4 linked regions of the Lonchura striata genome follow. The protein of the gene in region 4 purifies or fractionates together with the protein of the main gene of each other region. This does not show direct contact. Links are inferred from orthologs where the notes say so. Each region holds a gene or a part of one and is shown on either strand. Other genes may lie near its edges.

Region 1 (6,692 bases), on a different chromosome or scaffold from region 4:
CTTGGTCTTCATGGATCACTGGAAACGCTGCTACCTGCGGGATCTACGGCTGCTGGAAAGCCACCAGCTGCTGGCTGAGGGGGCCACCATCCTGGCTGATAACGTCCTCTTCCCTGGGGCACCTCACTTCCTGCAGTACGCCAAGACCTGCGGCAAATACCACTGCAAGGTGCACCGCGCTAGCCTGGAGTACTTCCGCGCCATTCCTGACGGTATCGCCGAGCTCCGCTACACCGGCACCCACTGAGCGGGCGGCGAGCCCCTGCCTCGTGATGGCCACAGTTACTCCCCAACCCCTGCCCCGGCTTCAACAAGGGCTCTGGAGAAAAGGCAGTGGCTCTGTGGTCTGTGGTGGGGCGCAGCGGGCAATGAGTGGGCTCACTCCCTGCAGTGTTCCTGCCTGCACTGCACAGGGAGATCTGCCAGGCGCACCAGTCAATGGTGGGGAGCAGCCCTGCATTTGCCTGGGTGGTACCCCCTGACTCCCTGGTGGCCTCAGACACCAGATTTGGGGTTGTTTTCTTGAAAACTGAGTTTATTAGAAACGATGTGTCAGTCCCAGTATGCCAGGTGGCAGTCTCCCCTCTGGCTCCCCTGTGGGGCTTCCCTCTGAATCTGCTGCCCCACACAGCACCCATGGAAGGAGGAGCTTCACTGAACCGTCCCCCAGAGCCATGGGGGGCAAAGAATCTCCCCCAGCCTCTGGTTTGGTGTGGTTGTGGCAGAATCAGATCATCCACTGGTCCTGATCCTGCTCTGTCCCCTCCATGTCCACCTAGGAAAGAAAGAAGTTTAAGATCTCCTCCAGAGCAAGAACTTAATTGAGGGTGTGAAGGAGAGAAGACAGCTCCTGGAGCTCATGCTCAGGGTCCCACACACTTCACATCCCCTTCTTTGGGGTCTCGCACTATTACCTCATTGATCTCCCCATCATCAGGAGACTCATTATAATCGTTCATCTCATCCATATCCTGCATGTCCTCATCATCCTCTGAGTCCTCTTCACTGTCTTCATCATCTTCATCATCCTCCTCCTCCTCCTCATCATAGTGCTGTGGACACAACAGCTCCAGCAACCCCATCTGCCCTTCAAGCGCTGTGGCAAGCCCCCCTCTTCCCTGCCCACACACCCACCTCGGACGCTGGCTTTCCTATGGGCACCAAGTTGTTGTCCTTCTCAGCAATGCTCTGGAGCTGGGGAAAGGAGAGAGGCAGGTGAGCACCCCAACAGCTCCATGACACGCCAGCAAACAGGCCCTGTCGGCTCAGCTGCTGGCTTGTGGCGCTTGCTATTCACGCCTGTTTCCAGCCCAGTCCTGCTGCCTCCCTGGCATCTCCTGGCCAAGCAGGGAAGAGCAGCTCCAGACACCTGCCTGAACACCCTGGCACCAAGCAGGCTGGTCCCAATGACACTGGTATCCCCATGTGCGGCATCAGAAGCCCAAACACAAAGCTTATGTATTTCTTTATCAAAAAATAAACAAATCTGGGACAAATCTGATCAGCCAGATGAACACAACCACAGCAGATAATTAAAGCTCAATTAAAATATGTCAGCACCTCCCACCCAGAGGGATTTGGAACCTCTTCTACGTCCTGAAGTTTTAATTGATTTAAACTTTATTATTTAATTATAAAAACTTAATTACTGATTTTTTTTTTTTAACTTTAATCAAATAGATGTTCTTCCCCCCACACTCAGGGGCACTGCAGCACAAAACCACGCTCACATCGCCAACACTTATCAGCCACCAGGATCACAAATCGCTCTTTGCCTGCCTGGGGAGATTAGTTAATTAATTCATAGAGAGCTCGCGTAGCTCCAGCAGCATCTTATTAATTAACCCTCTACAATAAAACGGGGAGCTCCGGTAATAGTGACGGATGAGGGACACGGGAGCAGCGGTGCCCGAGCCGGCGACAGCGGCACAAGAGCTGAAACACGGGCACAGGCGGTGACCAGCGGAGCAGCCCCCAGCCCGGGCACCGCCCCGGGGCCGTACCCGCTGAGGGAGCCGGGCCCGCTCCCCGGCCCCCTGACACCCGGCCCGCGGCCCCCACAGCCGTGCCCACCCAGGCCTGGTGCTGCTGCTCCTGCTGCTGCAGCTCGGTCTCGTCGACGCACGGGCGGTCGAGGTTGAACCAGAGGGGCTCGGTGAGGCGGGGCAGGAGCGAGGGGAACAGCGTGGACATGGCGCGGCCGCCCGCCCGGCGCCGGCCGCCCAGCCAGCAGCGAGCGCAACCCGGAACCGGTTACCGCGCACCGAGCATGCGCAGAGCGGCGCGACCGCGGCCGCCAGGGGGAGCCCGGCTGGGGCGTGGCCTCGCCTGGGGGCGGGGCGTCGCTTGATTGACAGGTGGAGGGTTCACCCCCCCCCCGCGCGTCCTGTGTGGGGCCGCTGTGAGGGCCGGGCGAACGTGACCCGCCCCGGAGCTGTCTGTGTTACAAGTGAGAGTTTGTCCAGCCGAATTAAAATGAAAAAAAGCAAATATTTATTTTGCGATCAGATTCTATCTAGCCAGCCACAAGGAAAGAACAGTGCTGAGCCCCGCGCTGCGTGCGCAACAAGGAGTCAGCCTCAGCAGAGGTTTTCCTCTGTGCCCACACACCTCCATCCTGGCACAGGCGGGTTTTATAGGGAAAATTCCGCCTGAGGCCAAGATTTCAGCAATCAGTCTTTTCTTCCATTCAGAATCCGTAGGTTAATGAGATTTTCTTTTTATTTTTGGTGATGAGGAAGAACAATTACGTGTCCAGAGTTGTTGAATCCCTTGATGAAATTTACAGGAATCCTGCATTCACCTGTATCTGCCCGAGGATTTCTATAATATTTCTATAATATCCATCTCGGGTCGCTCACGCAATGATCAGTGCCCGGGTATCCCCTTATCCCTCCTGGCCCAGCCACATCCTTTTACGTGTAAATCAGGTTTCAACACGCACCAGGTTTCGTCTGAGAGGGTGGGGGGGACTCCTAATACAAACATGTATACTCCAACAAATATTTAATATCACATATATCATCCTAGAAATGCCACAAATTATATCTACTACACATAACATCTGTGACCCCCTGGGGATGTGTGACCCCGATGGGAAGCATTGTGACTCTCCTCAGGGGGTGATCCCCACGGAATATCTGTGCCCCTCGTTGGGGTATTTGTGACTAATGGTGGGTTTGTGACCCCCCCACAGGTACCAGTGACCCCAGTGAGGCGGTATCTGTGATGCTGATGGGGTATCTGCTCCTTTGAGGATTATCTGTCATCTGTGAGGGGTATCCTCCCCACTACTCAGGGCATCTGTGATCCCTGGGGCATGTCTGGTCCCCCATCATGTGTGACCTTGGAAGTGTGTCCCCCTTGTAGGGTATCTTACCTCCGTGATTGCCCCAGGAATGTCTCACCCTGGAGCATTTCTGTCCCTCCCGAGCCACAGGGACTGCTCTCCTGCAGGCTATCCGCTCCCCCCTTCACGGGGCATCTGTGATTCCCTGGAGTGCCTGTAATTCCATGAGGGGTACTTGCCTCTACGCTGTGGCCATCTGTGACCCCACAGGGGGTACCTGTCCCTGCCAGCAACATCTCTTACCCACTGTGGTGTTCCCCGCCTCACAGTGATTCACAGGGACCCTGTGGTACTGGGGGGCCACGTCCTGCCCCTTGTGCTGGTGTCAAGGAATCAGGCCACCTCCCACGGGAGGGAAGGAAAAATAGCCCTAAGTAGATTTTGGCTGGTGCTGGCCCCAGCCTGGCGCCAGGAGGATGAATCCCAGCTGCACGTGGGGCCAGGATAGGCATGAGTGTCAATCCAGGACACAGTGGGGTGCCAGGGTGGGATGCACTGTCTCTTCCGTGTCCTCAGTGCTGCCCAATCCGCTGCATTCCCACATCCCGTGACCAGTGGCCACGGGTTGTGCTGCACCACGACCTTTGAGATGAGCTGTGCTCGTCCCACAGCACCTGGAGCCCAGCTGCCCCCCAGGTAAGAGTCTTGATCCCCTGGCATCCCCAGGTAAGACCCCTGACCCCACTGTGGGTGGTCGTGGGCGGTGACCGTGTGCTGCCGCGCTTCCACGGGCACAGCGGGGGACTTTGTCCCTGCTGTAACTGCGTCTCTCGGTGCTGCTGTCCTGACCTGCTGTTGCCCTGGCAGAGCAATGGCAGCGGTGTTGGCTCTGCTGCTGGCCTGGCCAGCTGCCATTTCAGCAGTGACAGTGACACAGGACTCGCTGCTCAACGTCTGCATGGATGCCAAGCACCATAAAACAGAGCCTGGCCCTGAGGGGCAGCTCTATGGGCAGGTACGGTCCTCATGCACTGTACTATAGCTCCCACTGGTGTCACTTGCTGTGGGGTCACCAGGATGGAGGCTGGAGGGCTCTGTGCCCCAACATGAATTCCATCATCCAGTGTCACCCACCCACGGGCACTGGTGCTTCCCCTGGACCTGCAGCAGGTCCCAGCTGAGCCCTGGTGGGTCCTGGTGGGTCCCAGCTGAGCCCCAGCTGCCCTGGTGCAGTGTATCCTCTGGAAGGACAATGCCTGCTGCACTGCCAACACGAGTTTGGAAGCTCACCAGGACCAGTCCTACCTGTACAACTTCAACTGGGACCACTGTGGGGCCATGCCAGAGAAATGCAAGCGCCACTTCATCCAGGACTTGTGTCTCTATGAGTGTTCCCCTAACCTGGGGCCATGGATCGACCAGGTAGGTGAAGACCCCACCCTCACCCACCCACCAGGATCCCTGGGGTGAACTGGAGAAAACTGGGGGCCCTGCAGGCAGACACCAGCTGGAGGAAGGAGCGGATCCGGGATGTGCCACTGTGCTGGGAGGACTGTGAGCAGTGGTGGGAGGATTGCCAGGATGCTGTCACCTGCAAGGTCAACTGGCACAAGGGCTGGAACTGGACTACAGGTGAGTGGGGGTTGCAGGGCAGCCCCCATCATGCCTCAACTCTCCTGTAGGTCTCCAGTCAGTGTCCATCTTGCTGCAGGGGAGCAAGGGAGTTGTATCCACCCTCCCTGGTGGGTGTGAGTGGGTCCAGGGGTGTGAGGGTCCCCATGGGGTGGGGGTGGCAGCCAGGTGAGAGTCCCCTGTGCATGTGAGTGGGTCAGGGTCCTCATGGCATGTGGGGTAGACCCTGTGCCACCTTGAGGTCAACTCTCTCTTCCCCAGCAATGCCAGTGGGACCCATCTGCACCCCATGCACAGGCAAACAACACCCATTTCCCCAAGCCCTTCACCCACTTCACCCCTTGCCCACCCCCAGGCACCAACCAGTGTCCCAAGGGTGCCATGTGCCAGAAGTTCAAGTTTGTGTTCCCCACGGCGGCTGCACTCTGCGAGCAGATCTGGTCTGGCTCCTACCGCTACACATCCCACCACCGTGGCAGCGGTCGCTGCATCCAGATGTGGTTTGATCCCACGCAGGGGAACCCCAACGTTGTCGTCGCCCAATATTACGCCCATGGCGATGCTCCCCCAAACTCCCCGCTCTCTATCCTGCTGTCCCTGCTGCCCCTCGCCCTTCTGGCCCTGCTCTGAGCAGGAGGGGCTGCAGGCAGGAGCAGGCAGTAGGTGGTCAGGGAGGTCACCAGGCTGCCTTGTGTCTCCCCATGAAATGTTCCCAAGCTGTGTCCCCCACCAAGGCACGTGCTTCATGAATAAATGCTCCTGCCCGGCTTGGTCTTGGGGTGTTGTGGGATGGTTGGGGTGGCAGTAGGATGGTTGAGGGACCTAGGGGGTGTCTGTTTGTCTCATCCTGCTTCTGGGGGGGAGATGAAGCAGACTGTGGTGAGGGCTGGTCCTGGATGGTCGGGACGGACAGAGACAAGAGATCTCTGAAGTCAGGTGTTAGGATAAACTACACATTTTTGAGGGATGACCCTTGGATCTGTCTGTGGGTCAAAAAAGGGAGTTACCTTCTACTAGCTACACTACTGTCCACCAGCTGCTTAGCAACCAAGGTCCGAAATCTCAAAGTTTGTTCTCATCTCAGTTTCACTCAGTCTCTGTATTTTCCAAATCCTTTGCTAAGCAAACATATTTATAAGACTTTCCCATTTCATCTTCCCCAATATCTCCCCCGTTCTGATGAACAACTAAGATGTTAGATACTCTCTTCCTCATCAATTTTGCACACACTGAAGTATGCAGGGTACTACAAATGAAACGAAACTATCACTATTAACATAATCAAGCCTACTTTACAGAGCTCCTTTAGCCGTTTGGGCAATTCTTCATGATATGGCCAGGTTTTTTTGCAGAAGTAGCAAGGTCCTGAAGTTACAGCAGTTTGCCTAACAGCCATAGCGTTGCCTTGTTGCTGGGAGGTGAGATGCAAGGCAGCTAGGATTTCAGTAAGTTTTTTGTCTCGTGCTTCTGCTTGTGTTGCCTGTGCTGTGAGAGCCTTTTGAATTTGTTCTCCTAGAGTTTTTCCAAGTTCATTTGCTTGAATCGTCGCTGCTTGCTGTGGACTTCCAATTTTGTTGCAGGCCTCAATCATTTCAAGCACTGTAGGTTTTTCTTTTCCCAAGGCTTTGATAATTCTTTTGCATTCTGCATTGGCATTATTTTCAATAATGTCCCATATCATTATTGGGTGAGCTATATCATCACTGCATTGCCTTTCTGCTGCTCGGATTACTCGATCTACAAATGTGGTAAATGGTTCGGATTACTCTTG
Region 2 (7,709 bases), on a different chromosome or scaffold from region 4:
AAGAGTGGATTAAAGCTGCTCATCAGCACATTGTCCAACTGCTTCCTTTGGGATGCAGAGAGGGCTTCCACAAGAGTTGGAAGCTTCAGCCAACAGGGAATGGGATCCCCACTCTGCAGGGAATGGGATCCTCACCAAAGAGGAAATGGGATCCTGCAGCTGAGAGATAATGTCTCGATGCTAATCCCTCAGTGACTCTCCCAGCTGACCATGACAGCCTGAAATCAATTCCTAGGACAAATTTAATGGAATCAGGCTGGTGCTTCCCAGATCCTATTCCTGGGACCAGCACACCCAAATAGTTTTTAACACTCAGCTTTGAGTGTGCTCACTCAGTCACTGGGATGATATAAAAAGACTGGAAGAAATGCATCAATAAAATCCCAGAATGGTTTGGGTAGGAAGGAATCTTAAAATTATCCTATTCCATCCACTGCCACGGGCAGGGGCACTTCCACCATCCCAGGTTGCTCCAAGCCCCATCCAAGCTTTCCTTGAACACTTCCAGGGAGGGTCAAACATAACTTCCTCCTTTTCCACCCAATTCCACCTTTTTCTATCAGAAACACACGGATATTTCACTACTGCCCTTCAACTTTCCATTCCTTATTAGATTATCCAACAGGAAACCACCCAAATTCCTCAGCTCATACCTGGGTGGACTTGGAGGCACCTCATGGGAAAAACTGCTGCGCTCAAATAACAACCCATATTTGGTTGGCCAGACATTTGCAACCTATAAAAAAAATATGGATTTATGGTGGGATAAAAACATCAACCATGTGCTGTGTTGATGATGTTTGAGGGTCTTATAGGAAAATACGATGTTCAGGCTTTTTGCGCAGAGCAGGGAAACATAAATGTGGACAAAAAGCATGGCAGAAGTTACCTGGAAAGGCAGAGCAGCGATGTAATCCTTCCCCTCCATGCTGTGCACATTTATGCAGGAATTCTGCAAAATGCAGATACATTTCTCCACTATTTCGTCATTGCCTGACACTGGAAAGGAAGGAACAAAACAATTACACAGTGAAGTTTCACTCTGTTTCCGACATCCCTTATACACAAAAAGTAAATTCTGACATTTCAAGTCGTGGTGAATGAGCTCCTAGAGTGTGTCCAGAAAGGGGAATGGAGCTGGGAAGGGGCTGGAAAACAAAGACTGGCAGAGAAAGCTCAGTCTGGTGTAAAGACGGCTCAGGGGAGACCTTCCGGGTCTGCACAACTCTGTGACAAGAGGGTGCAGCCAGGTTGGGGTCAGGCTCTGCTTTCAGGGAACAAGGGACAGGATGAGAGGAAATAGACCCAAGTTGCACCAGGGAGATTCAGGGTGGATATTGGGAAAATTCCTTCCCCAAAAGAGTATCCAGCCCTGACACAGGCACAGGGCTATAAAAGCCACGTGGATGCAGCACTTGGGGATGTGGTTTTGTGGTGGCGTTGGCAACAGCTGGACTTGGTGGCCTCTCAGGGCTTTCCCAAACTAAACAATTCCATGACTCAAAGCCAAGAAAGCTGAACTCAGAGCATTTGCCCAGCAGCACAAGAAGCAGGACACTCACCATCAGCTTTTTCTGATTTTTCCTGGAACACAGTGAAGTCACACCACAAGGCCTGAAACCCAACAGAGCATCATTAATTCTCCAGAACGAGCTGCTCCCACACAATGTCACCTTCCCCTGTTCCCTGCCTAGAAAGGGTCTGTGGATTCCCTCAGTGCCCCTTTCCCACATTTCTGTACCTGCAGGACGGGGCTGTCAACGGTGAATGCCTTGTACACAGTGGACGCTTGGCTTCTGCTGCCCTTGCTCCAGATGACCACATTGCTGGCCACGTACAGCTCCTCGTCATAGTCCACCTCCTCCCCGACATCACTGATGCCTTTCCTCAGCTGCCAGCTTTCCTGGAAAACAGAGGTTTGTCAAAAGAAAAGCCACAAGACCCACGGGTGTGATGAGTTAGGCCAGTTACAAGGTGCTGGCACAGAAAAGTTGTGTCTGCCCCATCCCTGGAAGTGTCCCAGGCCAGGCTGGATGGGGCTTGGAGCACCATGGGATAGTGGAAGGTGTCCCTGATCATGACAGGAGGTGAAATGAGATGATCCGTAAGATCCCTTCCAACCCCAAAAAACCCTGGCATTCCATGGTAAGGACAATCAGGATCCATTTAGATTTATTTTGATGGAAGCCAGGGAGGAATGGGCAAGGGAGACCCTTTGTAGAGTTCTGAGATTTAGAGTGAACCCCCTTCCTCCCTGAACTCCTTCTCAGAGAGGAGCTGGGATATGGATGGATCCAATCTTAGGCTCGAACTCCAGCAGAGCTGGGGCTGTTCACCTGGCGAAGAGAAGCCTCCAAGGAGACCTTAAAACCCCTTCCAGTGCCTAAAGGGGCTCCAAGAGAGCTGGAGCGGCACTTGGACACGAGTCTGGATTGACAGGACAAGGGGAAATGGCTTCCTACTGCCAGAGAGCAGGGTTAGGTGGGATATCGGGAAGGAATTCTTCCCCGGGAGGGTGGTGAGGCCCTGGCGCAGGCTGCCCCATCCCTGGAAGTCAAGGGCAGGCTGGAGGAGGCTTGGAGCAGCCCGGTCTGGTGGAAGGTGTCCCAGCCCACGGCGGCGGGCGGGAGCCGGATGGGCTTCAAGCTCCCTTCCCTCCCGACGCCCAGCTCAGGAAGGCTCGTACCCGTTGCCGGTCGTGGATGGTGACCTCTCGGAGGGAGCCCACGAGTCCTGCGGCGCCGTCGGAGGAGCAGAGCTCCGGCGCGGGCTGCAGACGCCGCAGCTGCAGGCTCAGGGCGCTGGGGTGCCGCCGGCTCTGCTCGCGGCCCCGCGGCGCGAACTCCTGCAGGTCGCCGGCCGCAATCATCGTCGCCCTCTCGTCACAGTGGTCCGACATGGGGCCCCGATATCCTCATTATTTCCGGGACGCGCCGGCGGGTCCCGCGGGCACCTGGACGCGCGGGGAGCGGCACCGGCGGCCCCTCACGCGGGCGCGGCCATCTTGGCGCTCCCGGGCTGCCCCGCGCGCGCCCGCCCCGCCATGGCCGCGCCTGTTCCCGCCGTGTCCTGCGGCATTCCAGTGCCTCCCGGCGTATCCTCGGGGGAGACTTCCCCCAAAATGCCCTTTCGGTGCCACAGTCCCGCCGAGCGCTGGCACGGCGCTGCCGGGCGGCGGTGGTTGGGGACTGCTGTCCTCCCGTGGCGACTTCCGTCATGGATCGCCCAGCTCACGGCCTGGGGTCGTGCTGGACTGTCTTTGAAATGACGGAGGATACGTTTAGACGGATATTGGGAAGTAATTCTTCCCTGTGAGCGTGGTGAAGCACTGGAAGAGTTGTCCAGAGAAGCTGTGGCTGCCCCATCTCTGGAAGTGTTCAGGCCAGGTGGGAGCAACTTGTGATAGTGGAAGGTTTCCCAGCCCATGGCAAGGAATTGGATCATGTTTAAGGTTCCTTCCCACCCAAATCATCCCAGCATCCCAGGATAAAGAATAATCAGAGTCCATGTAGAGTGATTTTGATGGAAGCCAGTGATGTAAAAAGGAAGAAAGGGTAAAGGAGATACAGAATAAACCCTCTTGTTTCCTAAACTGCTTTTCAAAGAGGAGGTGGGATGAAGATGTATCCAATCTTAGGCTCAATCTCCATCAGAATTGGGAGTGTTCACCTGGAAAAGAGAAGCCTCCAGGGAGCTCTTAGAGCCCCTTTCAGCGCCTGAAGGGGCTCCGACATAAAGGAAGAAAGAATTCTGTGCTGATGCTCTTTTTGTTGTTGTTATTGTGTCTCTTGAACTGGAACAAGGATGTTTGTTCCAGAAAAGCCCTGCCCTACTTCTGCATGGCCCCTTCTCCAGTTACATCTTGTTCATTTACCTGGCATTTAGTACCAACAATCCTTGTCCGTTATTCCCAACAATTCAGCTCCATGGCCATCTGTGTTCGAGACATGGACATTGGCCCAGAGAAGCTGCCCCATGCTGAGAGTGTTCCAGACCAAGTTGACAGGGCTTGGAGCACCCTGGGATAGTGAAAGGTGTCCCTGCCCATGCAATGGGTGAGACTGGATCATCTTTGAGATCCCTTACAACACAAAACATTCTGGGATTCTGGAATTCTCTGATACGGTGCTTAAGAAGCTACTTTGTGGGACCAATGAGGCTTCTGCAGCCACCCCGGGCATGGGTACAACTCTCTTGCCACCATTCCATGTGCTTGTGACATGGATTAGCATAAATCTGTGTAAGTCTGGGCTCTGCTGACTTATCCCGGCTAAAATCCTCGCTTCTGTCACATAGGAGGGGCTGTTCTGTCTGGAATGGAGGGAGATTGTGCCATCCCCTCTCCCTCCTGGATAGGAGCAAAGGTTGGGAAAGACCGTTCAGATCATCAAGTCCAACCATCAGCCATCACCACGACCATGTTCACCACTAAACTATGTCTTCAATTGCCACGTCCACATGTTTTGTTTTTTTTTTTAACAGTTCCAGGGATGACGACTGTACCACTCCCTGGGCAGCCTCTTGCAGTGCTTTACAACCCTTTCTGTTCTCATAGGATTTGTACCCCATCCAACCTGGCCTTGGACACTTTCAGCAATGAGACAGCCACAGAATCTCTGGACAACCTGTGCCAGGGCCTCCTCAGCCTCCCAGGAAAAGATTTCTTCCCAATATCCCATCTAACCCTCCTCTAAAACATGTATGGAGTAGCTTGATGGGAACTGAAAGGGCAAATTATTTATTTTCAAGACATGAGTTTCACAATAAGCAAAGAAGGGAGAAGCTGTGGATGAATTGAAAACATACTTGAAACTGGAGTCTGGGTTTCTTTGGTTTAAGCTGAGACAGAAGTGCTTCTCAGAAAGGAGAAGCAGGGTAGGAAAAGCCAATGTCCAACCTTTGCTTTCGCAAAGTGATTTGCAGAGCAGGAGAAATTGTTCTGGGAAGAGCCAGCTAAGCCAAGGGACAGGATGTGCCCGGTAAGAGCTGCAGGGTGTCCCAGTGCCCAGAACAGGCACAGCAAGAAAAAGGCATTTTAGTGGCATCACAAAAAGTTCCGGTTTTCCCTTCAAATTGTTTGGGAGCCGCATCCTGTGTCTGGGGTTTAGCACTGAGCACAAACGGGCCAGCTGCCCTCAGCTAAGGACGTGTTGCCAAAGGAGTTTGGCATTTGAAAGAACAGGAGCCCCTGAAAATCAAAATAAAAATAGGCCCAAAGAGGAAGCAGGAATAAAGGAATGATTTAGCAAAATGAAAATAAAAACACATAAATAGCTGGGAAGAAAATACCCTCAGCAGACAAAAGCCCACACGTCTGATTGCCAAGTGCCATTTCTGCTAAACAATCCGATTTCCCAAAGGAAAAATTGGATCCAAGGTCTCCCAAAAGTCTGGTGAGGAAACAGAGTCAATGCACTGAAGTGAAACTGCAAAGTATGGGTCAGACTCAGACACCTGCATCACTGGGATCCCGCCAAGGAAGAGCTGAGGATCCCTGCAGAGAGGGATCTTTTGGGACCTTCTCACCCAGGCTGTGAAGATAAGGATCTCTCCCTCTGGTGCAGGACACAGCAGGAAAACATGGACTCCTCCTTGCTGGTGATGGATCAGATAACCTTGGGTAGTGACTGGTTTAGCTGATTCAGGGCTGATCCTGCTGCTCAGGAAAGGTTGTCCCTCCTTCTTTTGACACCAGTTGCCTTTTTGCCTCTCCCACTGCCCCAGGAATTATTCTTAGGGCCAAATGCCACCTGATTCCCAACCCAGGCAGTGGGAACAGGGGATGCTGCTTGGCATGATCTGGTGAGTCAGGGCCAAAAACCATGAGTGGTTTGTGGGGATACTCCCCAGCAACTGTTGAGTTTGGGCTCTGAGGATGGAAATCCATCACCTGCTTCAAAAAAGACCATTCCAGTATTCCATATGCTGTGAGGAGCAGGAGGATGGCACTGAGGTATCCTAGAGCCAAAGGGGCCAGATTGGCTCCTGCCAACTGCTTCCAGGCTTTTCCTATCACCTGAGAGTTTCTCCTCTGATTTCTCCTCTCCGATTTTTTCCTCCCTTTCAACCTGTTCCTCACGTCAGGCTGTGCAACAAACCCTCTGGAGCTGGAGCAGAACCCAACCTGCTGCAAAGAAATGACCCAAATCAGGGGATTTTTGGGAGCTGTTGAAATCCTCTTTATGGTCCTGCATGTTCTTGTTTATTTTTTAAATTCCTCTTTTGCACAATCTGCTTCTCTTCCTCACCCTGTGTTAGTGGGGTGACTGTATCCTGATGCAAGGGCCATTCCCAGCCTGCAGCCCACAAAGTCCAAAGGCTTTTCCATTGCTTTGTTTCCAAAAATTGCAAAGCCAGCAGGAGCAGCAAGGAATGCAGCCAGATCAAAGTGCACTCATGTAGCAAAGGCTGACCACAAATGACAGGCATGGGACAAATGTCTGTCCCTGGTCTTGTCCTGCTCCCTGAGGGATGCTGGATCCACAGGGAATATGCCCAACATCTGAAGGAAAAGCAGTGCTGCTGGATCTTCATGGAAGATGCTCCAACTTCTTGCAGCAGTTTTAGTGAGTTTTCCTTCTTCCCTTTCCTCGGGGCCTCCAAGTCCATGAGCCCTTCCTTGGCTGCTGATGGCTTCAAGATATGGGAAGCTGGGATGAAAATTCAATCCCTGTCACCAAAGCCTGGGAATGTGCAGTGAATAAGCAACTTTGCAAGTCAAAGAAGACTGGGAGTGATCTGTTGCAGTTTTTTAGCTGAGCTTAAGGAGGTTTTTCTTCCCAGATGGAAAAGGCTTCAAAGTGGTGTGTTTCTATTCTTTGGGAAGAGTACAGCAGGCAGTGACTTGTGTCACAGGTTCAGGGAGCAGAAAGGTTGGTGCAGAGAAATACCAGTGCCCTTCAGCCACATCATCAGGATGCTGGTTCCCCAAATCCCAGTCCCTTCCCATGAGGCAGCAGGCGAGGGGAACACGCATGACCCCGATACACCTTGGTCCCAAATGTCCCCATGCAAGGCCAGTGTTGGGGCAGGGTCTGAATATCCAGAAACTCCCTTGTTTCCTTCCCATGCCACAAGAGATCTGTTCAGTTTGCCTTGGGTTAATGGCTTATGTTGGTTTCCCCTGGGTCTTCCTCCTTTCCTTGTTTTTGTCCCTGTTCCCTATTATCCTGCTGGTATGGGCCAGGTGAGAAGGAGCAGTGCCTTCAGCACAGCATTCCCATGCTGGGCAGGCCAGAGGGCAATGGGGTGAGTGAGATTCCATAGGGTGAAGTGACCAGTCCTGCGCTTGGGTCACAAAAACCCCATGGAGCGCTGCAGGCTGGGGCTGAGGGGCTGGGAAAGGTCCGAGGTGTGCAGTGGCTGATCACAAGCCCAGGTGTGCCCGGGTGCCCAAGAAGGCCAATGGCAGTGGTGTGGCCACAGGATCATGGCAGTGACCGTCCCCCTGTGTGACCACTGGTGAGGCCTCACCTCAAATCCTGGGGGCAATTTTGGGCCCTGCATGAAAAGAAAGACTTAGAGGTGCTGGAGTGTGTCCAGAGATGGGAATGGAGGTGGGGAAGGGTCTGGAGCACCAGGAGTAGCTGGGGGAGCTAGGGGTGGAGGCTCAACCCGGAGACAAGGAGGTTCAGGGGGGACCTTGTCACTCTCTACAAGTGTTTGGGGGGACCTTGTCACTCTACAAGTGTCTGAATCATGGAATGCTT
Region 3 (7,181 bases), on a different chromosome or scaffold from region 4:
CTAAACACATTGGAACAGTTTTAACCCTGAAGTTATAAGGCCTCAATAAACATGCAAACTTATTGAGGCCACCTTTATTAAGGCTCACCCATGTAAGCCAATACTGAGGCCACCTTTTGGCATCCTGTGACCCTGGCATGACACTTGAGCTGTTGCCTTTGTTTGATGGACTCAGAGCAAACTCCTCCCTCCTTCCTCCACAAGTGACACTGCCAGTGAGGGGTGATAACAACCCCTATTTCAGATAGGTTTTTTTCATAATTAAGAAAAACTAGTATTTCAGTAGTAGCTCAAATTATCGGTGGGAAAATTAGTAATTGGTTCTTACCTTTACATTCAGCATCTCCTTGAGAAGGTCATTCAAATCATCTGAGTAACGATATGGTATTCTCCTGACCCTCCCTTCCCTTATCTTTTCTGCCAGTTCCTTTTGGTTGAAAGCTGTAAATGGAGGCCTGAAGAAGAAAATTTTACTTTGATTCTTTCACTAGTTTTACAGGACTTACTTTCAGGAAAAAAAGTATCAGACTATGAAAAAAAAAAACTGCAGTCAAGGTTTGTTTTGACTACCTAATGTCAAGACCAATAGAGAAATAAAAATCTAGGACTAGTCTCTGAAACTGTTAAGCTTCCATCTGTACAAAATACAACCACATCTACATTAGCAATCATGTTTCCACATTTGTTATCATGCTACCATACTTACGAGAGAGCACATAATTCATACACAATACATCCTAGCGACCAGATGTCAGATTTTTCATTGTATGACAAGTAGTTCATTTGTTCCTAAAGAAAGAGAATAATCTTAGGTTTGTTAACAAAGACATGCAACTCTATTTCAGTCAACATTAATCTTTCCCACACAAAGTGTCCTATATCAGGGAAACAAGTCATTCCTGCTCATTTCCACTACAACTTAAAATCCTACCATTAGGAGGTAATTTAATAAGTGCTTTACCTTAAAGTATGAAGCATAAAAGCTCTCTAACTTCCCTGTTCCTTTTCAGGAACAACATACTCCAATATTGCTAGTGTCCCAGGAATATAACAAAGCTTATACAGTGAAGAGCAACTGTTATTAGAAGGAAGTTGATTGTGCGGGGAAGAAAGGAGATGAAAACTGCAAAATAACTTTGTATCCAGAGCACATACTTTATGAAAAAAGTCACCTGCATTTAAGACCAATAAAGCTTCATGAAAACCTCCCAAACATTCATGGACTCAGACCAACACAGCACACCTTGGAGGGGCAAAAGGGAAGATAATGTACAGAAGGGACTTACTGGAGACATGTAATATGGAGTGCCAACAAACGTTGTGGCAAAGCTGGTATTATGGTGCAATATCCTAGCCAGTCCAAAGTCTCCAAGTTTCACATTCTGTTTGCTATCTAGAAAGACATTTGCTGGTTTCAGGTCTCGGTGCACAGTGACTGCACCATCGCTCCGCCTGTGACACTCCCTCAAGGCCAACGTTAATTGAGTCAACACCCGGATAATAAAGCTTTCATCCAAGAAATGCCTGAAAAATGAACACATTGTTTAATGGATTTTCTGAACACACATCAGTTTGATTAGTCACTGCCAGTTTTAGTTCCATAACTTTTTAATAGTACTATAATAAAAGACCACTCAAGCACTATCAGCAACAGGCATCTATGAATTCTACCTTTAAAACGGATTTTTTTTTTTTTAAATCACTGCAAATATGTTAGATGACATTGAGGCTTTCATTGCAGAATCCCTGCAATATTTCTTTCCTCCCCCATACTATCTAACAAACATATAGCATTTTCACTACTTACAAATATCAATTTGATGCTTTCGTAATGCGATCTGTCCCTTTGATTGCTCAAGATAATGATATGTTGTCATTTGTTAATAATGAGCAACAGACAATAACAGCCAAAACAGGGCTAGTTTTTAAATACAGACTCCCTTAAATGAAAAACACTGATACTGGCAGGCAGCTGCAGAACTGTTTTAGACTATCCTCATAAAGAGGTCGTGTCATGTACTTGTTTGAGCTAAGAATGTGAAAACTGACACTATTTTTAAGTAGAATGCTAAGTCTAAGATTAGACCAAGATGAAGCCTTATCAACTTGATGTTTCTCCAAGCTCTATATATGGGCAGGTAAAATAGCTTTTCATATTGCAATCAAAATCACTGCTCCCTTCCACACACGTCTGTGTTCTCATAAATCCCAGGGTCCCGGCAGTTTTACTCATGGGGAAGACCATTGATAGCCAGAAACCCCTCAAGAGCTTCTGCCTCACAAGACAGCTCTGCGTTTCTTACTGCTGGCAGCACCAACACCAATCCGGTGAAGCATTCAACAGCACAGTTCCCATCGCTGTTGCAACTTTGTACAAAACCTTTCACCTTTGAGAAGAGCTGCGGGGTCGAGAAGGCTTAAAAGCTGAAACTATTCAGCAGTTACAAAGCACATTTCCCTTCTCTCCGGGCTGCCCAAGACCCGTGCGAGACACTGCAGAACACAAGCTCATTCCACGTGCCTTTCTTTGGCGCACTTGGCGATCAAGCTGGCCAGGTCTCCCCCGTCGCAGTACTCCATGACGATGTACAGGGTGGTGCTGCTCCTGTCGATGATGCGATCGTAGTAGCGCACGATGTTCGGGTGCCGCAGCTCCCTCAGCAAGTTCACCTCCGACACGAGCATCTGCTTCTCCGACTCCGTCATCGCGCCATAGTCCAGTTCCTTCCATACCAAGATCTGCGGGGGCAGAAACACGCTGGGGAGTGAGCGGGGCAGCGCAGGGGGAGGAGGGTCTGCCGGAGGCGCTCGCTCGCGTGTGGCGGGGAGCCGCCAGCACCGGGCAGGGACGCACGGCAGCAGCGAAGCCGCGCTGCCTCCGCCTCACCTTGCCGTCGGCCTTGCGGCGCACCTTGCGGCACTTCCCGTAGGAGCCGGCGCCGATGGTGAGCAGCACCTCGTAGTCGTCGGGGCGGCCGGGCATGGCGGGCAGCGCACGGACCGCGCCGGGCCGCGCGGGCCCCTGCGCTCGCGCCGCGCCGTTCAAACGCACCGCCCCGCCCGCCCATTGGCCGCGCCGCCCGCGCGCCCCGCCCGCCCATTGGCTGCGCCGCCGTAAACAGCGCCCGCGAGGCGCGGCGGGTACGGCCGTTACCGCCGGGGGCGGGGCCGAGCCCATCGCGAGACCGGCCCCACGCCCCGCCTCACCCGGGGCTGAGGGGAGCGGCCTCCGCAGCTTTACCGCCTGTGTCCTTATCTTTTCCCCTGCTTTTCCCTTTGCCCCTTCCCTCCCCTTCCCTTCTTCCTGATTAGACAAATCACCGGGCCTGCATGCATATCCATATCATAGTCACATATCCATAGTCACATATCCATAGCTCCTCAGGAAGGGGTGTGTGTTTTTTTCATGAAAAATAACAGTAAATCATCACCGTTCTGAAATGCTTACATCTGTTGGATAGATAATTTTACTGTTCAGGAATGCTAAAAAAACCCCAAACCTTTAAGCTGTTTAAAATAACGTAAATCTAGTCTGGATTTATTGCAGTCTACAGCTTCTTGGTGAGGGGAAGAGGAGGGGCAGGCACTGATCTCTGCCCTGTGGTGCCCAGTGACAGGACCTGAGGGATTGGCCTGGAGCTGTGCCAGGGCAGGTTTAGGCTGGATATTAGGAAAAAATTCCTCACGAACAGGCTGCCCAGGGCAGTGGTCACAGCACCAGCCTGACAGAGGAAATGTTTGGGCAAAGCTCTCAGGCACATGGTGTGACTCTCAGGGTGTCCTGTGCAGGGCCAGGAGTTGGACTTGATGATCCTTGTGGGTCCCTTCCAACTCGGCATGTTCTGTGAAAATTGTCCTTTAAAACCAGTGTGGAAAATGTCTTCAAATTTTTTTCTTCAAAAAATCACTCATGAATAGCTACCAAAGTCATGGCAGCTCCCTGTCCTACCACATATAAACACCCATACTACATCATACACAAACCACCTGCTGAAAACATATAATAAAATTTGGGAAATGCAAACTGTGGATCCACATCCAAACGGAGCCAGCAAATACTGTGGTTACAGTAAACGGCGCTCAGTAACACCACAATCTACTAATGGCATTATATACATTTTAAGAACAATGTAGTGTATTTTCTAGCATAATTTATGGTAAGGAATGATGCCAAGGTGCAGTTCTGCAGCTCAATTTTATCTCTATCCATGTGGCAGTAGCTGTGACTGGAACAGGAACTTCTTCAGCAAAGCTTTGTAGCATACTTGTGATAATATAGAATCATCATGGTCTGGGGTGGAAGGAACCCTGAAGATCATCTTGTTCCCACTCCCAGCCATGGGCAGGGACACTTTCCTGGATCAGGTGTGAAAGGGAACAGCTGTATGTCCTGACCTAGAAATTCAGCAACAGGACAGAGCAGTTCCTCATTTTGCATCTCCACACGGTCTCAGTTATTTCCCAATTTTGTTTCAGCTTTGAAATAGGTTTGAGTAGGTGTCATGCTATGACTGAATATTTATGAAATATTCTTCTATTAGTCTTTAGAAAAATCAAAACCTTTACTTTTATCATCAGGAGGCACAAAAACTCCTGCTGTCCATTATAAAAATTGTATAGACTTCTTATCTGTAGAGAATGTATGGTCATTACAGGAAAAAATGAGCAAATGAATTCTACAGTGTAAAGGTATTTTGGTTTTGTAATTAATGGATAACAGGGTGATCTAAAGGGTTTGTGTTTATTACTGATTTCAATTACTTTGAAAGAAAATCCTCACATGCACCATTAGCATAGTGAATAAATTATGGCATTACTCAATGAAAATGACAAGCAGTACAGTATGTATTATTCAGGCTGGAAGCTTCATTGCTGGTTTTAAATATCTCCATTTCCAACTTCTGTACATTCAAATAAGCAAAAGGTCATCATGCATTCCCACTGTTATCAATGGGAGCCTTTCTATTTATATTTCAAAAGAAATACAGTAGGATTTCAATACTGTGTTTTGTCTAGGCACTGTCTTAAAAGTTTCTTTAGAAATGTTGGTTTGAATCAGAGAAATGTCAAAATGTCATGCTTCAAAAGCCAGCAGCAGTCATTTCACTTTTTATTATACTTATTAAGGGCTAGCTAATTTTGAGAAAAATGCATTTATAAAAGTGGTTATTAAAATTTTGACAGGCACTTCATTTTCTTTCTTTCTGATTTTCACACTTATAAAAATGACAAGAATTTTTTTTCCTTTTATATATGGACAAGTGAACCCAGACATGAATAATTCCAAAACTATGTATCAAGTTTGAAATGGGGGCCTCCTTTGTAATGTATTGTATTTTCAATTCTGGTCTCTTAGTTCAGGAGCAAATCTCAAATTTCTAGTCCTGAAAATAAATGTGCTGACTTCAGGCCTCAAAAGCCACCAAATAGTTCTCAATAACATATTTATAATAATGCTTCTAATATTATATTCTGCTTTTAATTTTTTTAACATCAAATTTCACCAATTATTTCCTAAAACTTGAACAAAATAAAAGTACTCTTTGGTAGTTGCCTACTGAGGTTTCTAGTTTTGATGACATCTGTCCTTTGTGCTGTAAAGAGTACATTTTCTCTTATTCCAGGACCTAGTTATCTAACAAAATATTAAATGCTGAAGATAAATAGTATGGTAGGCAATTTGATATTTCTCTAAAGATATTTTGTTTTTTGCACATGGAAGTAGGTAAAAATAAATGTGTGACACTTTGCTGTGAAAGTCCATCACAATATAATTATACAGATTAATAGCAAAAAAAGTGCAGTTAAGTACTGAAGGAATTAAGTATGTTTCTGGCTGCTTTTTTTTGTTTGTTTGTTTTGGTTTTTTTTGTTTTGTTGGTTTTTTTGTTTTTCAATCAGAGAAGATTGCACAGGTTCAGAAAGTGAAAATAAGCTCAACAGGAAAAGCACTGAAAATGAAGCCATAAAAATTATTAATAATGAAAAATAAATGCACTCTATAAGAATAATTAGAAAAACAACTGAGAAAAATGTTGATTTTTTTTTCTTTTCTAAGAGGTAAAAGACATGTAAAGACTTAGTCCAGGATCCATGGCAGAAATGTACCAAAGTCTTCTAGCAAAATAAGGAGGAATTGAGTATTCAATATTAGACAGGCAAGAGGTCTTAGAAATATTTTTACATGACAGAAAGAGGGCTTATAAATACTGGAGTGACCAAGATGATGAGTGTTTTATTTGAGTTTATTTTCACCACAGAAGTAGTTTGGAGTTTTTAACATTCAATGGCATTTGTCCTTACATATCTTTGTGCACACTGGGTTTTTCCCCCTCACTTTCTCTCATCTCTGTCCCTGCCCAGACATTTTACATTTACCCAGGACTGTTGTACACAGATGATGTAACTTTTTGGTAATATTTACTGATTTTAACAACAAAAATCATACACAGGATCAACAAAAACATATAAAATACTTGGATATTAGAGAGAAACACTATAAAAAATACCAGAGGATAAGATTTCGCTCTATTGCTTTGTGAGGGAGACAAAGAACACATTCATTGACAAAATTCTGCACAACACAGCTGTGGACAGGACAGCAAAGGAACAAAATAGAGCATGTATGTCTTCATATATATGCTAATTTTCACAATAGTATTCATTAACCTTAAGAACAGAAGGTGCTTGAATTGCTCTTTAAGACCACTATTTAAACTGATGAAAAGAGTGATTATTTGACATGTATAGAACTTCAAAAGAGAAATTACGGTGTGTCCTTCCTTAATAAGTCAAAATTTAAAGTATTGGGAAGGATTCTAAGGAAGGATTCTAGTATGTTAATTCATTATTTCTGTTGGCTTGCTTACTAAGTCAAGGAAAGCAGACAAGTTTAGGATCTGTGCCTCAATTTATCATCTTTTGAAAGGGAAACTTTCCAGATTAAATTTAATATCTAGGAGCTCTCAAAATGCTCAAAAAATGCTTTAAGTGATACAGTAAGTAAAGCTGCTTAATTTTTTAAAAGCAACAATATTAGAGTTGCTTATTGTGGAACAGCCAGTCTCAAATGTTTTTCCAGTAATTTATTTGTACTTACAGTCCCTTCAGATGTATTGGGAGAAATTTTTTCAAATTTTTCAATATATTTCAAGAAAGTTTTTCAACCATCACCAGAATTC
Region 4 (7,652 bases):
ATATTCAATGCATTATGTATATCAAAATTACAAATATCAGAGGATAATAATTTATGTGACCTTTAAAAATTTATCAAGTGATCAAATTAATAAAAGAACTGAAAATCTTTTTTTATTTCCAGTGAATAAAGTTTGTATTGGCTGGCTCAGAAGCTTGTCACCAAATTTTTCATTGCCTGTAAAGCAATTACTATCAGAGGTTTTCTGTTTAAACTCTCTCCAAACCTGCAGTACAACCTACCCACACCTCAAAACAGCTAAAGATACATTGCAGTAACAGGAAGATCAAAGCACAATACTTAATACCACATCTTGGATATATCAGAAGGTTGAGATTCCCCACAAAAAGCTAAGCCTATTCCCACCAGAAGAAGAATGTCAGTGTGGTTAAAGGCACAGCTATTTTCTTGCTATTTTAAATCTGATGCTTATGGCAGGTGAGGGGGGAAATCCTCAAATCAGGAGCTTACACCACCTGCCTCCTTTAAATAAGTGTTTTATTTAACATGTTCTTGCACTGCCATAAGGTGCACATCAGAGGCTTCCTTAAGACAACAGAAATAGGGACCATGATGTCCTCCAGGACACAAGTGCTGCTGAGACTTGTTCAATCACACAGAGTTCATGGTCACTAGAGATAATCTGACTTCCTGAACAGGATTGCCAATGAAATTGGATGTAACACCAAGGACAAAACACAAAAGACATAAACACCAAAATAAAAATCTTGAAAACACAGAATAAATATTTAAATATAATACCTATTCTGACTAACAAAAGAGATGAACATAACATTCTTATAATTAGTTTAATAAATTGATTGATATTGAAGCAAACTGGATCAGAAGACAGGCTGTACATGCTAACACTAGATTAAGCAGCTCTTAAGAAAGAGAAGCACAAAATCATGCACAAAATCACCCAAAGACCCACAAGACTAAGGTGTCAGCACTAAAAATAAGCATATGAAAAGTGTCTATTCTAAAAAGGAAAATTTAGTCAAGTTGTGAGAAAAACCCTCAGGTATGGAATACTGTATTATTTCATGTAACTGCTTGTAACATTAAGAATAAAAATTAACAGTAAGGTGGCATTACATAGCTCATGATTTACTTTTCAGACTCACCTGCTTTCCTCAGTTACTTCCATCCAATGCATGTATGTGATAGATAACTCCACAGAGAAGGAGTGCAAGCTTTCAGGCTTTTCTACATCACACAGAATAATCCGCTTGGTATCAGCAAGGCCAAAAGCCAAAACTAGAGAAAGACAAGTAAAATGTATAAATAACCAATGAGCAAAATGTCTATCTTACACTGACCTAGAACTGAACACGCTTCTAACACTTTTAACAATAGTTCTGATAAAGTAGAGGCTTCCAATTTTGCAAACTTGAGTCCAATATTATGTATAACATTGTCCACCAGAAAGATTTGGTGGACAAAAAACACAAATTAGAAGCTGAGCAACTTTTGTATCACTTTCTTCACTCATAATAGAGAATTGCAGGCAGAAGTTTCTCCATTTCCTTCCTTATAATCACAGGTAATCATCTTAAAAAGAAGTTTCTTAAACTCTTCAGATGCCTTCATAAAACAATATAGGTAGTTTTTATACATATGTCATGGAAGAATATTGTTCCCATCTCCCACCTCTAGTGAATCAAAAATTAACTGATTTCTAGCATAAGTTTATTAAGCTACTAATTTCAACATTATTTCTATTAATAAGGAAAAGGCTATGTTTTTCTTCTCTGGTCTATAATTAGAGTAATTTTAGCCTATGAAGTTTTGCCTATGTTAAGTAAGCTAAGCTTTTCAATCAATCCTGATCAAACAGCTTCTTTCCCTCCCAATAAACTTTGTAGTTCATACAAAATATCCTGCTTAATTAGGAGGTTGAAATTTTGCTATACCCTGAAAAGCAACATTTGGCATATAAATCTGAAATCTTTCTTGCAATTGCATTCAACAGTGTTAATATCTCTATTGCTGTGAATGAACCTACATAAAATTAAGCCACCCTTTTCTTCAAACACAGTTTACTTGAAAATTTCCTTCACAGATGAGAGGCATCATCATTCATGAGTTCCCATGGGGTTTTATTGCACCATATCATCTCATATACTTGACATTACTTTTGCCATCTGGTCTCCAAGCAAGAGCAGTCACTTCTTTTCCTGTATTTTCATTTGGAGGCAAACTCCAAACACGTTGAAAGTTTGCAAGCCGATGAAGTAAAACCTATAAAACGAATGCATGAAGACAAACTTAAACCATATTCTCCCATTAATAAAGTTAGTAAATCAGTTCAAGATGCACCTTTTTTACCCGTTTTTAACTCCTGTGTCTTAAACACCACCTGCTCCTCTAGCAGATGATTCACTCCTATATTCTTTTAGAGGGCAGCACATAGTTTATAGCAGAAGAGAGAAATAAGGTGCATAAGGATACAAGCTCCTAACCAACAGGGGTTACCCACCACCTCTCTAGCAGACAGCCCGAAAGCACAAGTCTTGTCTTCCTACATGATCATACACTGCAGTTCCACGGGAAAAAGTACTTAAAATTAGATTTAATTTAAATAGGCCCATCCATGCATTTAAAATCCTACAAACAACGAGCGCATCGTATATGAATTTGTTCGGAAATCAGAATGCAAAATATGAAGGAGCAGTAAGACGCTCGACTTAAAAAATTGCTGTCCTTAAATGCCTGTCGAGACTCACGAGAAACATGCTGCAAGTAACAGCAAAGGCATGCGGGCCTGCAGGGAGGGCAGCGCCGCTCCTCCCGAGCTCTCACCAGCAGCCGCACTCACCTCCCCCGCTCGGTTGGCCAGGGCGATCAGGTCCCTTTTGGGGGACCAGGCCATGAACACGACCTCCTGCGGCAGCTGCTTCTCGCCCACCTGCCTGAAGGCGGGCATGGCTGCGGGCTGCGCCGAGCCCGCCGGGCCTGCTCCGCTTCCGGGGCGGCGCTGCCCGCCGCGGCAAGGAGCGGGGCGGGGCTCGGAGCCGTGCGGGTTATCCCGGCAGCGGGGCGGGGCTCGGAGCCGTGCGGGTTATCCCGGCAGCGGGGCGGGGCTCGGAGCCGTGCGGGTTGTCCCGGCAGCGGGGCGGGGCTCGGAGCCGTGCGGGTTGTCCCGGCAGCGGGGCGGGATTTGGGAGCCGTGCGGGTTGTCCCGGCAGCGGGGCGGGATTTGGAGCCGTGCGGGAGATCCCGGCAGCGGGGCGGGATTTGGGAGCCGTGCGGGTTGTCCCGGCAGCGGGGCGGGATTTGGGAGCCGTGCGGGTTGTCCCGGCAGCGGGGCGGGGCTCGGAGCCGTGCGGGTTGTCCCGGCAGCGGGGCGGGGCTCGGAGCCGTGCGGGTTATCCCGGCAGCGGGGCGGGATTTGGAGCCGTGCGGGTTATCCCGGCAGCGGGGCGGGATTTGGAGCCGTGCGGGTTGTCCCGGCAGCGGGGCGGGATTTGGGAGCCGTGCGGTTTGTCCCGGCAGCGGGGCGGGGCTCGGAGCCGTGCGGGTTGTCCCGACAGCGGGGCGGGATTTGGGAGCCGTGCGGGTTGTCCCGGCAGCGGGGCGGGATTTGGAGCCGTGCGGGAGATCCCGGCAGCGGGGCGGGATTTGGGAGCCGTGCGGGAGATCCCGGCAGCGGGGCGGGATTTGGGAGCCGTGCGGGTTGTCCCGGCAGCGGGGCGGGGCTCGGAGCCGTGCGGGTTGTCCCGGCAGCGGGGCGGGGCTCGGAGCCGTGCGGGTTATCCCGGCAGCGGGGCGGGATTTGGAGCCGTGCGGGTTATCCCGGCAGCGGGGCGGGATTTGGAGCCGTGCGGGTTATCCCGGCAGCGGGGCGGGATTTGGGAGCCGTGCGGGTTGTCCCGGCAGCGGGGCGGGGCTCGGAGCCGTGCGGGTTGTCCCGGCAGCGGGGCGGGATTTGGGAGCCGTGCGGGTTATCCCGGCAGCGGGGCGGGGCTCGGAGCCGTGCGGGTTATCCCGGCAGCGGGGCGGGATTTGGAGCCGTGCGGGTTGTCCCGGCAGCGGGGCGGGATTTGGAGCCGTGCGGGTTGTCCCGGCAGCGGGGCGGGGCTCGGGAGCGGAGCCGCCGCAGCGCCGAGCCAGGGGAGGCTGGTCAGGCTCTTCCCGCTCTGCTTACTTACGACATACTGTTTAGTACTAAATATTTTTTTTTTGTAAACCCATTTTCCATTTGGAGAGAACGTTTTAAAAAATCACTGGCCATCCTGTGAGACGACTGTAATCAACAGAGACTGAATTCCTAGAACTCGTGCCTTCCCATCACCTACCCTCACTTTCTTCCTTGCCCCATGTCCTCCAACATAAAATCAGAGCAGTATCTCACCTCTCAGCAGTTAAGACCCTTAACGTCCAACACCCATCGAATTAGACAAATAGCTAATCCTAAATACAACATTATCACATTATACACACACATGACAAGGGCTGTGGTAGTTCACTTAGTTGTTTGTTGCTTTTTTTTTTTGTTTGGTATCAGTAATGATGATAAAGGAACTGTTAATTCCATCATGTTTTATTCTGGATGTTAGCACTTACATTTTTAGAAAATGGAACAAAAGGCTGTCAATAAAAAAAATAAATTAGCAACTATGTAGCAGCAAAAAGAGTCATGTCATTTTTTTCTTATTCTTTACTTTCCTCTTGGAGAATATGGCATATTTCATAGCTAATCTTTTAGAGATCCCCATTTTTACTCTCTTTCGAGTTTTCTGTCCTTTCTTTTTGTCAGGTCTGTAAAGGAAAAAAAGGAACACAGAGATTAGAATAAAATGAAGAACACACTTCTCTGTACAAATACATTTGCTGGTATTCTAAATAAGTATATTAATTATGTGGTAGTATGTGAAGTACATGGAACATTACCTGTCTCAAAATGTTATGGTCTTTCAAGTTCACAAAACTGTCCACTTTATTGCCATTATATATTCATTTTATGTATTTATTCAGCATTTAAATTTACACAGATACTGAAAACAAGAAACTCACTCATTGAGTACAAAAAAAGCACACACAGTTTCACGCTGAATATATACTGCATTAATATATAATAGAAAGACTTAGAAAAAAGTATGTGAAGTTTAACACCATTAGAAAGCATCCTGCAATTAGTACAAGACCTAAATACAACTAACAAGTGGATTGTTTTCTATCTCTGACAAAAGATGTCACAACACAAAATTCTGAGTAATTGTAACAAAACATACAACATTTTTATTCGAAAAAGAAATCTAAGCTATCTTCTGCAACGAGTCAGCAAAAGAACTAACTGATGGCCTAAAATATTAAAACCATTGCGGCACAACTGATAGAACAGTATCTTCCTTGACAGAAAAAACAGATGAGGTTTCATAAATTCTTTTAGCATCCTTTTTAATTTCTTTACCAAAGGAAAAAGAAACATTAAGAGACGCAATTTTTATGAGAGATATATAAAATGAAACATTGCTACGTTTTGTGTCTAATACTCCCTAAACAAAATCTGGTTTAGTGTCAGTAGGACATGAAGCAATACACCTGTACCCATCTGCTATCCAGCAGGCATCTGGTGAGTCCCTGGATACTGATTCAAGAGGGTAATGGTCTGAGTCTCACTGTGTAACACAGGTACAGCTTTTGGGAGGGAAAATTTGCCTTCCACTGCTACAGCCATTCAAGTCCAGAATCACAGAAAAACCCATTACTCTGGAAAGGAATTTATAGTAGTGCAATCAATTATCCTGAACTGGAAAGACTGAGCCATCTGCTGGATCATCTCTTAGCAAATCCGCTTTCCTCTTTTCAGTTAGTTCCATCTGAAGACAACCAAAAACCATTTACTTGGCTCTCTGATACATACAGGTATGCATACAGTGTTGTTCTGTATGTAACAAAAGGAAAATCATGGAAGACTAAAAGTACTCAATGTGACTCTTGGTGACTCTAATATATTGTGTCTGTTTTCTCTGCCATTGCATGAGGAACTCAAAGGGGATGAAAGTGTTCCATTACTTCAATTTTCAGTCACCTTGACAGAGTTCCATGCACCAGTCACCAAGTCTGAATCCATATAAATCAGTTTTGAAAGAAAACCCACAGACAGGGAATTGGAAGCCCCAGAAAGTGACCTGCCTTTTATCATACCCTCCCTTCAGTATATACTCCCCAACAGTCCAGCAAGTGAGCAATAGGGAAAGCTGACATCAGCACCTAAAGCAAAATATCATCTCCTTCTGAACTGATTCCGTGACATCTCATCTCATCTGAATGCTGTATGTTACTGTACTAATGCAATATGACACTTACTGACAAGCTGTTCTGGGGCGGGAGAGACTGGGACAGGCACTGCGCTTGTGACCTGCCTTGCCACAAACGAAACAGCCAATGTCAGTCTTCTCACAGCTGTGCTTTGGAAGAGCGCAGCACTTGCAATTGTTACAGTGAAACCAAGCTGCAAAATATATAACATTATTTATGATCTTGGAAAAGTTTAAATTGAACATTCTGAAACTAAGCTTTAAAGCCACATTACCAGGTTTTTAATTCTGGATTAGCTTTGCAGAGATAGCTGTAGTCACCTTCGGGACCCTTATCACATTACTGGACATATTGTGCAATTAAGTGTGAATTATTTTGCCATTAGAACTTTTATCCTATGTGTCATCTTCAAAAGAAAAACACTGCAGATGTTACAATGTATTTACAGATTTTGATTTTTGTAACAGTAACAAAGATAACTGCTTCAGCTATTTATACAGAGGCATAAATACAACTAAATTTGAGCATCAAACAATTTTACCATGATCTCTCAAACATTTTGTAATTCCCTACTTGTTTAGAAAATTCAAAGTTTAGAAAATTAGGAAACACTTATATGACAAATGGAAATATTTCTGTTTTGCCATGATAAATGTAAATGGGATTTAGTGTGCCTTGGCAAGAATTTCCTGCATTTCCACACAGTGCAAGTACATCTAAACTAAAGAATAGTAACTTGTGTGAAATTGAGACTTTTTGTTTATTCTATATCTTCTGAATTATATTTTACTTCTTTCACAGAATATTTTCTATTCTGGTTTGGAAATTCAGTTTCTTTGGACTAAATGCACTTTTATTTAGAAAATAGTTTTCTGTACTTACAGGGCTTTACACATTTTTTGCAAAGAACACAATGTTTCCATCGTCTGCCATCCTACAAAAGGCAAATAAATTATTTTATTAAACCCCGCACTGATTCTATCTTAAAACAAAACTACTTTTGTACAGTCCCACTGTTTACAGAAACAACTCCTCTGTAGGAAGGACTGTAACTCTGAAACAACAGTCCTGAGAATCTGTGAAAATCACAAATGAAATTTTGAAATTAGCAAGTTCTACAACTTCAAAGCATAAGCAAAAATGCATATGTCAACAGACCACAGCTGGGTAAGTTCTGGTCTAAGTGGCAAGCAGCAAACTTGTCCTGTCCTCTTTGCAATGCAAAGGAATTTGGGGAAGAGAAATTAATTCCCAGTGGGTTACGGAAGATATACTGTGCAGGTAATAATAAATCTATGAAACTGAACTGCTGTGGGTTTCCCATAGACTCAGTATCAGAACAGGTTTTTGCCAAAGCAAGAATAACAGAGGTCGCTATCTGACTAC

Evidence for each region.
Region 1: the proteins of ANAPC4 (region 4) and ANAPC15 purify together in Homo sapiens (affinity purification with mass spectrometry; 10 studies listed by BioGRID and IntAct, with this or other methods). This does not show direct contact. The link is inferred for Lonchura striata from reciprocal best matches to the Homo sapiens genes ANAPC4 and ANAPC15.
Region 2: the proteins of ANAPC4 (region 4) and ANAPC1 purify together in Homo sapiens (co-purification; 13 studies listed by BioGRID and IntAct, with this or other methods). This does not show direct contact. The link is inferred for Lonchura striata from reciprocal best matches to the Homo sapiens genes ANAPC4 and ANAPC1.
Region 3: the proteins of ANAPC4 (region 4) and NEK2 purify together in Homo sapiens (affinity purification with mass spectrometry; 6 studies listed by BioGRID and IntAct, with this or other methods). This does not show direct contact. The link is inferred for Lonchura striata from reciprocal best matches to the Homo sapiens genes ANAPC4 and NEK2.

The regions. Positions count from the first base shown.
Region 1 is NC_134604.1:4,304,601-4,311,292, forward strand, and holds ANAPC15 (anaphase-promoting complex subunit 15), read right to left. Parts: upstream 2,274-6,692; 5' UTR 2,194-2,273; coding exon 2,074-2,193; intron 1,195-2,073; coding exon 1,135-1,194; intron 1,053-1,134; coding exon 915-1,052; intron 776-914; coding exon 728-775; 3' UTR 508-727; downstream 1-507. Other genes in the region: TOMT (transmembrane O-methyltransferase), read left to right, coding at 1-247; folate receptor gamma, read left to right, coding at 3,939-3,985, 4,157-4,304, 4,523-4,711, 4,786-4,921, 5,277-5,551. UniProt on the Homo sapiens protein: Component of the anaphase promoting complex/cyclosome (APC/C), a cell cycle-regulated E3 ubiquitin ligase that controls progression through mitosis and the G1 phase of the cell cycle.
Region 2 is NC_134605.1:27,745,933-27,753,641, forward strand, and holds the start of ANAPC1 (anaphase-promoting complex subunit 1), read right to left. Parts: upstream 3,013-7,709; 5' UTR 2,900-3,012; coding exon 2,687-2,899; intron 1,904-2,686; coding exon 1,742-1,903; intron 1,615-1,741; coding exon 1,563-1,614; intron 1,000-1,562; coding exon 890-999; intron 737-889; coding exon 654-736; intron 1-653. UniProt on the Homo sapiens protein: Component of the anaphase promoting complex/cyclosome (APC/C), a cell cycle-regulated E3 ubiquitin ligase that controls progression through mitosis and the G1 phase of the cell cycle.
Region 3 is NC_134605.1:12,190,192-12,197,372, reverse strand, and holds the start of NEK2 (serine/threonine-protein kinase Nek2), read right to left. Parts: upstream 3,020-7,181; 5' UTR 2,984-3,019; coding exon 2,888-2,983; intron 2,740-2,887; coding exon 2,522-2,739; intron 1,525-2,521; coding exon 1,287-1,524; intron 790-1,286; coding exon 707-789; intron 456-706; coding exon 329-455; intron 1-328. UniProt on the Homo sapiens protein: Protein kinase which is involved in the control of centrosome separation and bipolar spindle formation in mitotic cells and chromatin condensation in meiotic cells.
Region 4 is NC_134606.1:18,430,212-18,437,863, reverse strand, and holds the start of ANAPC4 (anaphase-promoting complex subunit 4), read right to left. Parts: upstream 3,009-7,652; 5' UTR 2,929-3,008; coding exon 2,821-2,928; intron 2,244-2,820; coding exon 2,138-2,243; intron 2,130-2,137; exon of another isoform or gene 2,008-2,129; intron 1,260-2,007; coding exon 1,127-1,259; intron 1-1,126. UniProt on the Homo sapiens protein: Component of the anaphase promoting complex/cyclosome (APC/C), a cell cycle-regulated E3 ubiquitin ligase that controls progression through mitosis and the G1 phase of the cell cycle.